Macaca fascicularis: one gene and its partners. The protein of the gene in region 2 binds, or shares a complex with, the protein of the main gene of each other region. Links are inferred from orthologs where the notes say so. Each region holds a gene or a part of one and is shown on either strand. Other genes may lie near its edges. The genes, in order: RAB3IP, RAB8A and RILPL2.

Region 1 (4,209 bases), on a different chromosome or scaffold from region 2:
CTCCTTTGCTGATATAGAATTCTCTCTCTGAATTTAAATATAAGCAACGTATTGATCTTTAAGAAAATAATCTTATTTTCACATATTTCTTATATCCACACTTTGTAAGTGCACTCTAGCAATAAACATTGACTAGCCAGATCATTAAAGCCACCCACTCTCCTCTAGACAACACATGACAGTTTCCTCCCTTAATGAAATATTGAGATTAAGAAACTTACCAAGTTTCTAGCAGGTACTCCAAGGTCAGCCAGGTAGAAAATGGAACTGAAGAATCCCTGAAAGCAGCCAGCTCTAGATAAAGCCTCCCCCATCTTAATACTGAATATTTTGTACTAAAAATTTTGCTGGCAAAAATGATAACTGACACCTCAGTGATGAGAATTAACAAGTATCAACAGAGTCAGAGGGGACAGTCCTTGACGAGTTACCTCTTTGCAGTCTTTTACAATTGGCTGTATCACACTGAGGTCCTGATGACTGCCACTCATAGCACTGCTTGTGCTTTTATTTCTTGTATGCCCCTTTTTAAAAGGTGTCTTTCCACCTGGCAAAGGCTCTTGCGTAGGTGATGTTGGAGAACTGGACAATACAAGTGTCTTCAATGCAGCTACTTCAGCTTGAAGTACATCAATCTTGGAAAGAAATCAACATAGTCACATACATTAAATATGTTTCATGACAAATGCAGCTAAATATTAGCAATCTGGTCAAAACACTTTCAAAGATGAAAAGTAAGTGTAATTTGTATGTCCTGTGGAGTAATAAAGAGAAACTAAAATCAAGTTTTTCGATGTTTCCATATGGTTTGGATTCATCTATTATTCACAATGTCAAATCAAATTTTGAAAATTACCATAATAGCTAACATTTATGTGAATTTTCAAAATCTTCAAAATACAATAGCTTATGACTAGTTGTAGAAGTTCACTCCTAAAACAGTAAAATCTAATAACATTTAGGTGGCTTTTCTCAGTGAATTTAAAAACTAAGTATTAACATTAAAATGTGATTCTATAATCCTTTGGATAATTCATGTGATTTACAAGGCTTTAAATCATTTGGTTCTCATATAAATGGACACCAAATGTTTACTATTAATTATATCTACATAGTAGCTATTTTATTCTATTTTTCTGTAGTTTCCAAATTGAAAACAAGCACTACTTTACAATCAGAATAAAATCCAACAGATGTTAAGGTATCTTTAAAACAGTCACCACTATTTTATACTATTAAGAGCAGCAAAAACTTACTTTTCCTTGTGCTTCTTTTAGCTGTTTTTCTGCTGTTGCCTGCTTGATATTTGCTTCTCTCACCATTTTATGAGCTTCCTGAAAAAGTTAACATCTCACATTTTAGAAACAAAGTAGCATTTGTTTTCAAAAAGCTTTTGCCAAGTGTTTATGATTGAAGCAAACATATACTACCAGAATTTAGCCCCAAAATAAGTACTCAATATCAACTATGGAAGCAGCAGTTGACAACAGAGAGACAACTATGAGGCATTAGGAATAGGTGCCTTCTTTTAGGACCTATTACCACCGAGGCAGCCAAGTTGAGATCAATCATCCTGATTAATGCTTGCATAAGGACTGTAAATGTGATGAAGGCAAACAATGACCAACATGTCAAAGCCACCTCCTTTGCAGTCAGCTTTTTATAATGTGGTCACTATATATATTCTTATTAGTCATAGCAAAGACATACAGGAGGGACAAGTAAAAACATTAACACACCAATAATGTTGCAGTTTACAGTAATGACAGTTAAGCCGCCTTAGAGCTTTTAATAAAAAGATTCACAAAATTATACACGTCACTTAGTATAAGTGTTGTTCTGTGCAGAGCAACCTAAAAAGGCAAATCAGAGTTTACCCTTTAATAGATTTTTAATCTTTCAGTACTACAAATATGAAACTCTAGGCATTTAATTCATTTTATTCATATAATGTTTATTCATGAGACATTTACTCATGTCATCTCCTCGTGAGGTGCTGCTCCAGATGCTGATTACATTCTGGGAAAGGACAAAGTCCCTGCTCTTAAGGAGCTTACATTCTGATTAATCAAATAAAATATCAGGGTAAGAATTGCAGGTTTTATTCTAAATGCAATATGAAGCCTTACAGTTTTTCTAAGGAAGTCTTACAGTTTTGTTAAGGAAGACATGATCTTTTTATTTTTAAAAGATTATGCCCTTGTATAGAATAATCCCTATAAGGGATTAAGAATGGAAACATATATATAGGGTGCTTGAGATAGTGCCCTGGGATTTAAGAACTTACATTTTAGAACTTCAATTCACAATTTATCAGAGGAAGGAAGAAAATGAGCTTCAAAGATATTTAATGAATAGTTTGACAATGGCACCCTCACTAGGTCTATGCACAGAGGTAGAATGGAAAGGTGGAAGTTCTTTACATCAGAGTTTGACTGTTTCCCATTTGTTCATCTGCTTTTACACTACTGTAATGATTGTAGTTTGCATGTGCCCCTGAATGTGAATTTGCAGCTTATATTAGTTTAAATAGGAGAATCTTTACTATCAATGATTTATAACAAAATTATATTAACCATGAAGATATTCCATGCACTATTATTCTGGCTATCTTGGCAAAGTCCTTAAGAGCTGTCAAATTTAATGAGTTAAATAGTCTCCCTTTAAAAGTAACAATTGTTTCAGATTTGCTGAATTTTTCTGGGATATGTGGCTGTCAACAGAAGACTATTTGGTGATGTTTTAAAAATAATAAACACAGCTAATCTGACCCTTCAAGATAAGTAACATTTTAACTTTAAATGCAAAAGTAATTCATACTATGGAGAGAATAGTTGACTAAATTTTTGGAAATGGACTCTGCTTTCATTAATAGTGGATTATACAGTTTGGACCAAACCTCAAATGGAGAATGATTAGAAAAGCTACACAAGTTTTTTGTTTGTTTTTAAAATGTGTTTGAAGGTATTTGAGAACAAAACAGTGAAGTAAACTTAGAAGTGATGTGAAATTTTAGGTGACTTTTCCACTACACACATAAGGGTTACAGTGAAAAGGTATAACACACATGTAACTGGAGCCCCAAAAGGAAAGATGAGCACTAGACTAGGGCAGGATCAGTTGCTAAAAAGATAACATGCAGAACTTTTACAGAATTTTTAAAAAACTGACAAAAAACATCAAAAGGTAGACTCAAAAAAAGTTTGAAACTTTTCCATCACACTGTCCTTCTGAAGCTGAAAATGATATAAGTATCACCTATACCAGGAGTTGGCAAACTTTTTCTGTAGAGTCAAACACTATGTATACATATTGCAACTCCTTAGCTCTGCTGTTGCAATGTGAAAGCAGCCATAGACAATACACAAATTAGTGTCGCTGCTTTAATAAATAGGAGCACTGAAATATACATATCATTTTGTTTTTATTTTAGCATATCCAGCACCTCCAAGTTACCTTTTTTTTGGACACGAGAGGTGGTGAGCATACAAGATCTACCTTCTTAGCAAATTTGTCACATACAATATAGTCATGCTGTACATTGGGTTTCAGAATTTATCTATCCTGCATAACTGATACTTTGTACCAATGACCAACATCTCCCATTTCTCCCATTTCCCAGCTCCTGACAACCACCAGTCTACTCTGTGCTTCTATGAGCTCGACTGCTTTAGCTTCCACATATAAGTGAGATAATGTAGCATTTGTCTTTCTGAGTCTTGCTTATTTCACTTCCTCCAGGTTCACTCATGTTGTTGCAAAACATAGGATTTCCATTTTCTTTTAAGGTTGAGTAGTATTCATATATACACACATACCCCCCACATTTTCTTATTTTTGTTCTCCATTTGCTTGGTAAATCTTCCTCCATCCCTTTATTTTGAGCCTATGTATGTCTCTGCATGTGAGATGGGTCTCCTGACACATTTTCTTTATCCATTCATCAATGGACATGTAACTTGTTTCCATAACTTTGCTACTGTGAATAATGCCGCAATGAACATGGAAGTACACATAACTCAAAATAGCAATTTTCTTTTGGATATATACCTGGAAGTGGGATTGCTAGATGATGCAGTAGCTTTATTTTTAATTTTTTGAGGAGAAACTTCCATACTGTTTTCCATAATGGCTGTACCAATTTACATTTCCACCAATAGCGGACAAGTTCCACTGCTCCACATCCTTGTCAACATTTACTATCTTTTG
Region 2 (4,209 bases):
GCAGCTCTGTGGCCAAACAAGCTTCGCTCGGAGGCCCTGCCTGGCAGGGCTGGGCGCGGGAGCAGGTTCATCCCCCAGCACAGCCAAGGCTTGAGCTGCTGTCACAGTCTTGAGGAGGGGACATACAGAGACAGCGGGAGGCTAATCCCAACATACATCCCCATGACGTGGGAGGTTCTGGAGAGGAGAGCGGCTTGGGGTACAGAGGAAGGCCCAGGGGAGGCTGAAGGTGTTCTTGGGGAGGGGCCCCCTGGGCCGGGCCCTGACTAGAAAAGGGAACCTGGCAGGCAGAAAACGGGGCACACAGGAGGGGAACGCAGTGAAGTATTGGAGAAGGGAGCAGCCCAGGTGGCCTGGGAGGGAGGAGGGGGTGGGCAAGGCCTGAGTCCTGGGTGGCAAACACCAGCAGTAGCCGGCAAGGGAGGACCTTCCGTGCCAGGCGAGGAGTCTAGCTTTTGTCTTCACGTCAGCACAGAGACTTTAGGTCAGGAGTGACGTGGAAGATCTGCTTTGGAAACATGACTAGGATGGGGAAACATCACAGGGTCAGCTGCAGGGCTGGGGTCACCCCGTGGAGAGGGGAGGGCGGCATGGGCCCAGGTCCCATCAGGGCTCCCTGCTGCGTCTGGGCTTTTGACCGGGACCTCTCCACAATAAGTGGTGTGGCTGAGAGTGTAAACACAGGGCTGGGTCTCTCTGAGCCTCAGCATCCTCACCTGTAAAACCATGCCTGTTCTCCAGGGCTGCCCAGAAGCCCGTGAGATGCATCCTAGGTGCCCTGTGTGGGGCCTGCCCGTGCTGATGGCACCACATTCCCACGGGCTGCCTGTGCCTGGCACATGGCATTGCCCAGGAAATGTCCCTCAGAGGACTGACTGGCAGCCCTGAGCCCGAGGCTGGTCCCTCTGGCAGGACCTCCTCGGAGGACGCCAGCTCCCCCTTCAGCTTGAAGGAGCCGATCCTGCAGGCCCCATGTCTCCCAGCAGGGCCCAGGACTCACATTTTCCACGTTGATGTTGGCCTTCGCGCTGGTCTCCATGAACTTGATTCCATAGTCGAGGGCCAGCTGTGAGAGAGGGAGGCACACGCGTGAGCTCACCAGCTGCCGGGCGCATCTGAGCTTGCCCAAAACAGGGGCTGAAGGCGGGGCTGGCGCCAAGAGGGAGCAGCAACGGGACTGGGGCTGTGGCAGTGACTTCCTGGGTCGCTCCCTTGATTCTATAGTGGGGAGCCCATTGTGAATGCCCCTCCACAGTGCCGCGCAGGGCATGGAGTGCTGGGGATGGCAGCTGAGACGGGAGGGGGGCAGGGGCCTGCTGGGATCAAACCATGGCTCCATTCCCCACTCCTGTGGTCTTAAAAGCCTGGAGTGGGACCATGGTAGGTTTTGATGAGCTGCCCGCAGAGCGCACCCAAGAAGCCCTGGCTGGGTGTGTGCTTCTGCCATCCCACGGCACGTGCCCCACTGGGGTGACCAACTTATCCCAAGCCCCTGGGGCAGAGAGGGACAGGGGAAGGCACCGGGGAAGGCCTCTGCACAAGAACCCCAAGACCCCGAGGCCCTCTGCCCCTTGTGCCACCATGCCCACCTTTTCTCCCCGTTCCTTGGAAACTTGTCTCTTGTCATTCACATCACACTTGTTCCCGAGTATCATCTTTTCGACGTCTGCAGAGGCGTGCTGAGAGGGAGGGGGCAGATGGGGGATCAGACTGGATGACACAGGCTAGGTGCCTTTGCCAACACACAGCCTGTCCCCAGAAATCAGAGCAGTGGGGTCAGGACTGCTAGGTACAGCCTGGCGTAAGGGACAAGCTGAAGCTCAGAGAGGCTGAGCAGCTGGCCCCAAGTCACAGTCAATGCCAGGGCCGGGGCCAGAGTTCTAGCTGCTACTCTGAGCAAATGTACATTTTCTGAAATGCTTTCTGGCAGCTTCTATGGCTATATCAATCAGGCCCCCGCACCTGGGCTGCTGGGCGGGTCTAGCCTATGGGAGGTGAGTGAGGCTGAGATATTTACCCCTGACTTTTGCTTTCCTCCCTCCCTCCCCAGCTCCTCTGCAAGAGGCCCCAGCTGTCGTCCTGGGACCTTCTGCTCTGACATTTTTTTGTTGTTGTTTTGAGATGGAGTCTTGTTCTGTCTCCCAGGCTGGAGTATAGTGGCATGATCTTGGCTCACTGCAACCTCCGCCTCCAGGTTCAAGCGATCCTTAACCTCCCGAATAGCTGAGCTTACAGGCATCTGCCACCATTCCAGGCTAATTTTTTCTATTTTTAGTAGAGACAGAGTTTTACCATGTTAGCCAGGCTGGTCTCGAACTTCTGACCTCAGGTGATCCACCCACCTTGGCCTCCCAAAGTGCTGGCATTACAGGCGTGAGCCACCACGCCTGGCCCTGACATTTCAACTCTCTCTTTTTGGGCTCCAGAAACAGGCCGTGCTTGAGGTGGCCGCAGGCATTTCACCACACTGTGTGGTGCTGCCCTAACTCTGCCCTCATACCCAAAGGTGGCTCCTTCGTCAAGCCTCCCTGGGTCCCCATGGAGCAGACCACACTTCCTGGAGGACAGGGACACTGGAAACTGCTGTCTTCCTCCACCAGCTCAGACTTGGTCTCTGGAACGTACTGCGCCACTCCCTGCCTTACTTCCCATGAACCAGAAGGTGGCTCCTGCCCGCTGGCCAGAAACAGAGACCTTTCACAAAGACCAGGCTCCCCTCTCCACAGATGAAGACAGCTTCCCCAGCTGGGGCGCAGCCCTCTCAGGCTCACTGGGGAGGTGAGCCCAATGCAATGACTCATAAATGAGGGGGTGGCCTCTCGGCCTGGCCTGGGAGGTCCATGAGTCCTGGGTGGACAGTGATACGCCCTTTTGCTGTGGCTTTATAGATGGGAAAAGTTCTCTGGCTGTGCCTCAGACCTGAAGCCCCACCTGGTTAGTTATCAAAAGCTGCAGGTGCCGGCAGCCGGGAAGGCTTTGGGGGTGAGGTCAGCTCTTTGGGGAGCAGGAAGATGAAGATGCTGGCTTTGGGAGGGGAGGAGGGGTTGGCCTCCTTCTCACCCCTCTATGGTTCAAAGTCTGAACACAGGTCGTTTGCACCAGGTCACACCCTGCTCCGATATAGCTCAAAGTACAACTGACGCCTGCTCACCACACCCTCCAACTACAAGGGTCACACCTGTGCTAGACCCTTCCTTCTCTAGAAAGCACCCAACACTCATGGTGACCACAAGCTTGGATATCCTTTCTCTTATGACCATGACACCGGCCAGATCCAACAGCCCAGCTGGAGGGGTGGGATCCAAGGGGCTCTGGGTGGGGCCAGGCCAGTGTGTGGTCCCTGGGGTCGGCTGCCTGCATCTCAGTCCCTGCTCCCACCGTGTCCCTGACTAGGAGGCTGTTGGCAAGTGGCCTGTCTGTGTCTCTGCACCTTGGCCTTCTCATGGGTAAACCAGAGGGCTCTGGGACAAGGACTGAAGCAGGGACAGTGGGAGGTGCTGGCGGGCCTCACCTCCTCAATGTTGCGAATCCAGTTCCGGATGTTGTCGAAGGACTTCTCGTTGGTGATGTCGTACACCAGCATGATGCCCTGAGCGGGGAGAGGAGACACAGGTGCCTGATGGGCTGCAGGCTCTGGAAGGGAGGCCGCGGCGGCACCAGAGAACAGTGGTGGGGAGCCCAGCACCCACTACACAGCCAGGCCCATTAGCTGCCACCCTCCCCACCACTGTGGAGCCCTGGAAACCAGCCCCCTCCTCTCCATCCCTGTGGCCTTTCTGCTGGGTTCTGGCACCAGCCTTGTCCTGCCCCCTGGGCCACTGAAGTGACCCTTCTGCCTCACAGGCCAGCCGCTGCCACGCCCTCGCTGACAAGCCCGGCTGGCTCCCCTCATGGCCCACGGGGCGGTGCAGCCTGATGCTGGGAGCTGCTCCACAGGCCCACTGCCAGCAGTGCTCCCCTCACACTGACCCTCCCCTGCAATCGGCCTCCTCTTCACCCCTTGCTCGCCCCACGCTCTGCCTGAGCCACCTCTCAGGCACAACTGAGCCCAGGGAGTCCTGACCTGACATCCACGCAACTTCCAGTGACCCCACCACAGAGGGAACCAGCTGTGTGAAGATGGAGCCGGGAGCGCCGAGGCCCTTCCAGTTCCCTAACCTAGATGTGAGCAACTGGGAGACGGCCCGTGGGTCCTGAAAGAGCTTCGGG
Region 3 (4,309 bases), on a different chromosome or scaffold from region 2:
TGCACTATCTAGTGGCACTAAACATTCATTTTCTTGATTCATGCATTTTTCCCTACCCCAGTTCTTAAGGCTGCAGTTTGGGAAGAAAATATGCCATCTCATCTGCCGCCTGATGAAACTTGTCCACTTTGCCCCATATGGGAAAGTACCCAGCCCCTGTGCACACCACACTATTCTTAGCTCATAATGGGACTTCCTCCATATTCTTGTGCCCGGAGATGGAGGCAAAAATAACACAGAATGTGGCTGAGCAATCCTGTGCAAGTCACTCAACTTTCCTTGACTCTCAAAAGCCAGGCTACAAGTCATCACACTTAACCATGTCACTTGACAGATACTAAAGTAGAATATTATCTAGAAATACAATTGTCACCATCACTTAGGAATAGGTGAAATAAACTACCGGGGTCAGAGAAGGTATGAGGCAAATAATAATAACAATTAATAATAATAAGAAAAAAAAGTTACCAGGGAAGCTACTGGGAAACTTCACACTTCCCTGTGAATTTCAGTGACTCGTTCCTGCTCTTTCCAGGCTTACTTCTTGGTTTGTATACTTTTTTTTTTTTTTTAAGACAAAATCGTCTTGCTCTGTTGCCAGGCTGGAATGCAGTGGCATGATCTCAGCTCAGTGCAACCTCCCCCTCCCAGGTTCAAGCAATTCTCTTGCCTCAGCCTCCCGAGTAGCTGGGAATATGGGCGCGTGCCACCATGCCCAGCTAATTTTTGTATTTTTAGTAGACGCGGAGTATGTTGGCCAGGATGGTCTCGATCTCTTGACCTCCTGATCTGCCTGCCTCGGCCTCCCAAAGTGATGGGATTACAGGCGTGAGCCACCGCGCCCAGCCTTGGTTTGTATACTTGGTTTTTGTTTGTTTGTTTGTTTTTGAGACAGTCTTGCTCTGTCGCCCTGGATGGAGTCCAGTGGCACGATCTCGGCTCACTGCAACCTCCACCTCCTGGGTTCAAGTGATTCTCGTGCCTCAGCCTCTGAGCAGCTGGGATTACAGGCGTGCGCCACCAGGTCCAGCTAATTTTGTATTTTTAGTAGAGGCAGGGTTTCACCATGTTGCTCAGGCTGGTCCCGAACTCCTGGCCTCAAGTGATCTGCCTGCCTCGGCCCCCCAAAGTGCTGGGATTACAGGTGTGAGCCACTGCGCCTGGCCCGGTTTGTATACTTGTGTCCTGGTTCTAGGACTGTGTGTCTGGCCTCTCCCACTAGATGTGAGCTTCTTGAGGGCAGGCACCTTGTCTACTTTATCTCCATAGCCCCAGAGCCTAGCATCAGTCACTGCAGTCACTCATCAAATGTTAGTACAACAAGTAAGGTCAAATGTCTGCATTTTAGGATGGAGTATTTAGGGCTAGCATCTCTGAATGAAGATCCTGGCTTCACCTCTTACTTGCCGTTAAGTCCTCAGGCAAATTACTTAATTGTTCTGTGCCTCATTTTTGTAAAACAGTAATAGTGTGAGGATTAAAAAAGACATCGTCCACTTACAGCAGCTTTTTTTTTTTTTTTTTTACCTGTGGCTGGAGACCTGCTAGTAGGTCATAACATGAATGAGTTTCGACAAGAATTTTAAAAACCTAGGCCGGGTACGGTGGCTCACGCCTGTAATCCCAGCACTTTGGAAGGCTGAGGTGGGTGGGTCACTTGAGGCCAGGAGTTTGAGGTCAGCCTGGCCAAAAAGGCAAAACCCCGTCTCTACTAAAAAAGAAAAAAAAAAAAAAAAATTAGCCAGGCATGGTGGCAAGTGCCTGTAATCCCAGCTGCTCAGGAGGCTGAGGCAGGAGAATCGCTTGAACCCAGGAGGTGGAGGTTGCAGTGAGTCGAGGTCACGTGACTGCACTACTACACCTGGGCAACAGAGCAAGACTCTGACTCGAAAAAAAAAAAAATCTACAGTAGTTTCTCTTTTGTGCCTGGCTTCTTTCTCTCAATGTAACATCTGTGAGATTCATTCACACTGCTATGTGTATCAGCACCCTGTTCTTTTTCTGTTGCACAGTATTCCATATATCACAATTTCAAAACTGAAACTGGGTTGCATTTAGATTGTTTCCAGTTCAGCAGTTGAGACTAAAGCTGCTCGGAATCTTCTTGTCTATGTCTTTTTGTGGTCATATGCACTAATTTCTCTTTAGGTAAAATGTGTTTCTTGCCCAAGTGTGGTGGCTCACATCCACAATCCCAGCACTTTGGGAGGCCAAGGCGGGAGGATTCCCTGAGCTCAGGAGTTTGAGACCAGCCTGGGTAACGGTGAGACCCCCATCTCTACAAAACATCAAAACAGTTAGCCAGGCATGGTGGCACATGCCTGTACTCCCAGCTACTCGCAAGGCTGAGGCAGGAGAATTGCTTGAGCCTAGGAGGCCAAGGCTGTAAGTGAGCCATGTTTGCACCACTGTACTCTAGCCTGGGCAATAGAGCAAGACCCTGTGTCAAAAAAAAAAAAATTGTGTTTGTTGCTCTAGGTCAAAGGTTCTCAAACTGGACCCGGGGCCACCAGCATCAGCATTAACTGGGAACTCGTTAGAAATACAGATTCTGGCCCCGCAGGGTGGCTCCCACCTGTAAACCCAGTACTCTAGGAGGCTGAGGCTGGAGGATCACTTGAAGCCAGGAGTTTGAGACCAGCCTGGGCAACACAGCGAGATCCCATCTCTTTAAAAAAAAAAAGGAAAAGAAAAGAAAGGAAAGGCAAAGAAAAGAAAAAAGAAAAGAAAAGAAAAGAAAAGAAAAGAGAAGGTGTCTTCCTGCTAGTAGGCGCCCTCCTACGCCCCGCAGGCGCTCTGGGCCCAACACTCACCTCCCCGCTGGTCGGAGGGTCCTGTCTCCGCAGCCCCTCCACCTCCTTCCTGAGGTTGTCCCTCTCCATCTTCAGCTCCTCCAGCGCCAGGCTGCCCTCATTCACCAGCGCCTCCAGCATCTCCAGGACGCGGACGACTTTGAACTGCAGCTGCGTCACCCGGGGGTCGCTGCCCAGGGCCATAAGTTCGCGGCCCAACAGGTAGGAGATGTCATACACGTCCTCGGTGGTCAGCTGGAAGGGGCTCTTGCCCAGCGCCCCTTCGGGCCCAGCCTCGTCCCTCTCCTCGTCCTCAGTCTCGTCCCTCTCATCGTCCTCTTCCTCTTCCTCTTCTCGCACAGGGGGCTCCTCCATGGCCACCCAGACCCCCGCCGACCCCGGAGCTGCTCTCTTGGAGTCTCCCAAAGGTTGAACTTCCTCCCGGCACCCAAAACTTTCCGCTGGGCAGAGTCCCTACCTGCCCAATCAGCGCGGCCCGGGGGTGGGCCCGGGGGGGGCGGGGGGGAAGGGGAAAAAGGGGCCGCGCACGCGACTCTAGGGCCTGCGCCCCTGGCGCACCGTCCCTGCTGCAGGCCGCGCGGGCGAGTGCGCTCCAGGTTGTGGTTTGGGGCGCGAAGGGACAACAGAAAAGGAGGGCGTCCGAGAAGAGGAAAGTTCAGGGGTGAGGGCAATCCCCCCAGCCTGGGAACAGTTGCAGCCCGGGGGAGGAGCCGCCCTGAGCCCCGCCCCTGGCGACCGCTGCCGGGAGGCGCGTTCCCGTGGAGACCGAGTTTCCACCGCGCAATCGAGAGCAGAGCAAAAAGAAAGCAACTTTTTCCTTTCTACTCTCGTGCTTTCCAGCCGTAGAATTTGCATCGTACGTGATGGAAGATTCGGGTCTCTCTTTGAGGGAGTTTTCTGGAACCTGCGGCCAAACAGAAAGCAGCTGTTGTGGGCAGCGCGACAGAGTCCCCAAGGCTTGAGGATCTGGAAAACTCCCAGCAAATTATCATTAGGGCCTGGGGCATCTGACTTCTGTGACTCTCAATAAAATGGGGAATTCCTACCCTGCTCACTTCGCTGGGTCCTCGGCTCCTCCACGTAACCGGCGCTGCCACCTTGGCAAGTTACTTAACGTCTCCAAGCCTCAGTCTCCTCTTCTGTAAAATGGGGACAATAGCGGGACCCAGGTGGCAGGGTTGCTGCGAGGAACATGAACTTATGAGATAATGTGTGTGACACCTCACACACTTAGGAAGCACTTACAGATGTGATTGTGATCCTTCATTCTTTCTTCCACAGAGCTGGGGAGGAATTGCTGGTGTTGGAGACACCTTGCTACTTGGGTGAGAGAAGCAGGCGTAATTAACAAGAGAGAAACCCCTGTCTGAAAATCACAAAGCATTTGACACATATGCAGAATCCATATTACTGAGAATATTAGCAGTGTGGCTTAGAAACTTGAGTTATTCGCTGTGGCTCATGCCTTAATCTCTACACTTTAGGAGGCTGAGGCA

What was found.
Region 1: the proteins of RAB8A (region 2) and RAB3IP are in contact, whole or in part, in a crystal structure (PDB 4LHX), measured with the Homo sapiens proteins. The link is inferred for Macaca fascicularis from reciprocal best matches to the Homo sapiens genes RAB8A and RAB3IP. Residues at the interface, in NP_005361.2 of Homo sapiens: Lys10, Phe33, Ser35, Thr36, Phe37, Ile43, Asp44, Phe45, Lys46, Ile47, Trp62, Ile73, Ala76, Tyr77, Arg79, Gly80; in NP_783322.1 of Homo sapiens: Ser199, Arg202, Asp203, Gly206, Leu209, Glu210, Thr213, Ala214, Phe217, Glu218, Ala220, His221, Val224, Asn228.
Region 3: the proteins of RAB8A (region 2) and RILPL2 are in contact, whole or in part, in a crystal structure (PDB 6SQ2), measured with the Homo sapiens proteins. The link is inferred for Macaca fascicularis from reciprocal best matches to the Homo sapiens genes RAB8A and RILPL2. Residues at the interface, in NP_005361.2 of Homo sapiens: Ile41, Gly42, Ile43, Asp44, Phe45, Lys46, Ile47, Lys58, Trp62, Phe70, Ile73, Tyr77; in NP_659495.1 of Homo sapiens: Leu135, Leu138, Arg139, Leu142, Gln143, Arg145, Asn146, Lys149, Ser150, Leu153, Glu157.

Annotation. Positions count from the first base shown.
Region 1 is NC_088385.1:76,563,894-76,568,102, reverse strand, and holds part of RAB3IP (rab-3A-interacting protein), read right to left. Parts: intron 1,335-4,209; coding exon 1,257-1,334; intron 636-1,256; coding exon 432-635; intron 1-431. UniProt on the Homo sapiens protein: Guanine nucleotide exchange factor (GEF) which may activate RAB8A and RAB8B. Promotes the exchange of GDP to GTP, converting inactive GDP-bound Rab proteins into their active GTP-bound form.
Region 2 is NC_088393.1:16,441,134-16,445,342, reverse strand, and holds part of RAB8A (ras-related protein Rab-8A), read right to left. Parts: intron 3,590-4,209; coding exon 3,512-3,589; intron 1,680-3,511; coding exon 1,590-1,679; intron 1,067-1,589; coding exon 1,001-1,066; intron 1-1,000. UniProt on the Homo sapiens protein: The small GTPases Rab are key regulators of intracellular membrane trafficking, from the formation of transport vesicles to their fusion with membranes.
Region 3 is NC_088385.1:130,571,181-130,575,489, forward strand, and holds the start of RILPL2 (RILP-like protein 2), read right to left. Parts: upstream 3,243-4,309; 5' UTR 3,168-3,242; coding exon 2,814-3,167; intron 1-2,813. UniProt on the Homo sapiens protein: Involved in cell shape and neuronal morphogenesis, positively regulating the establishment and maintenance of dendritic spines. Plays a role in cellular protein transport, including protein transport away from primary cilia.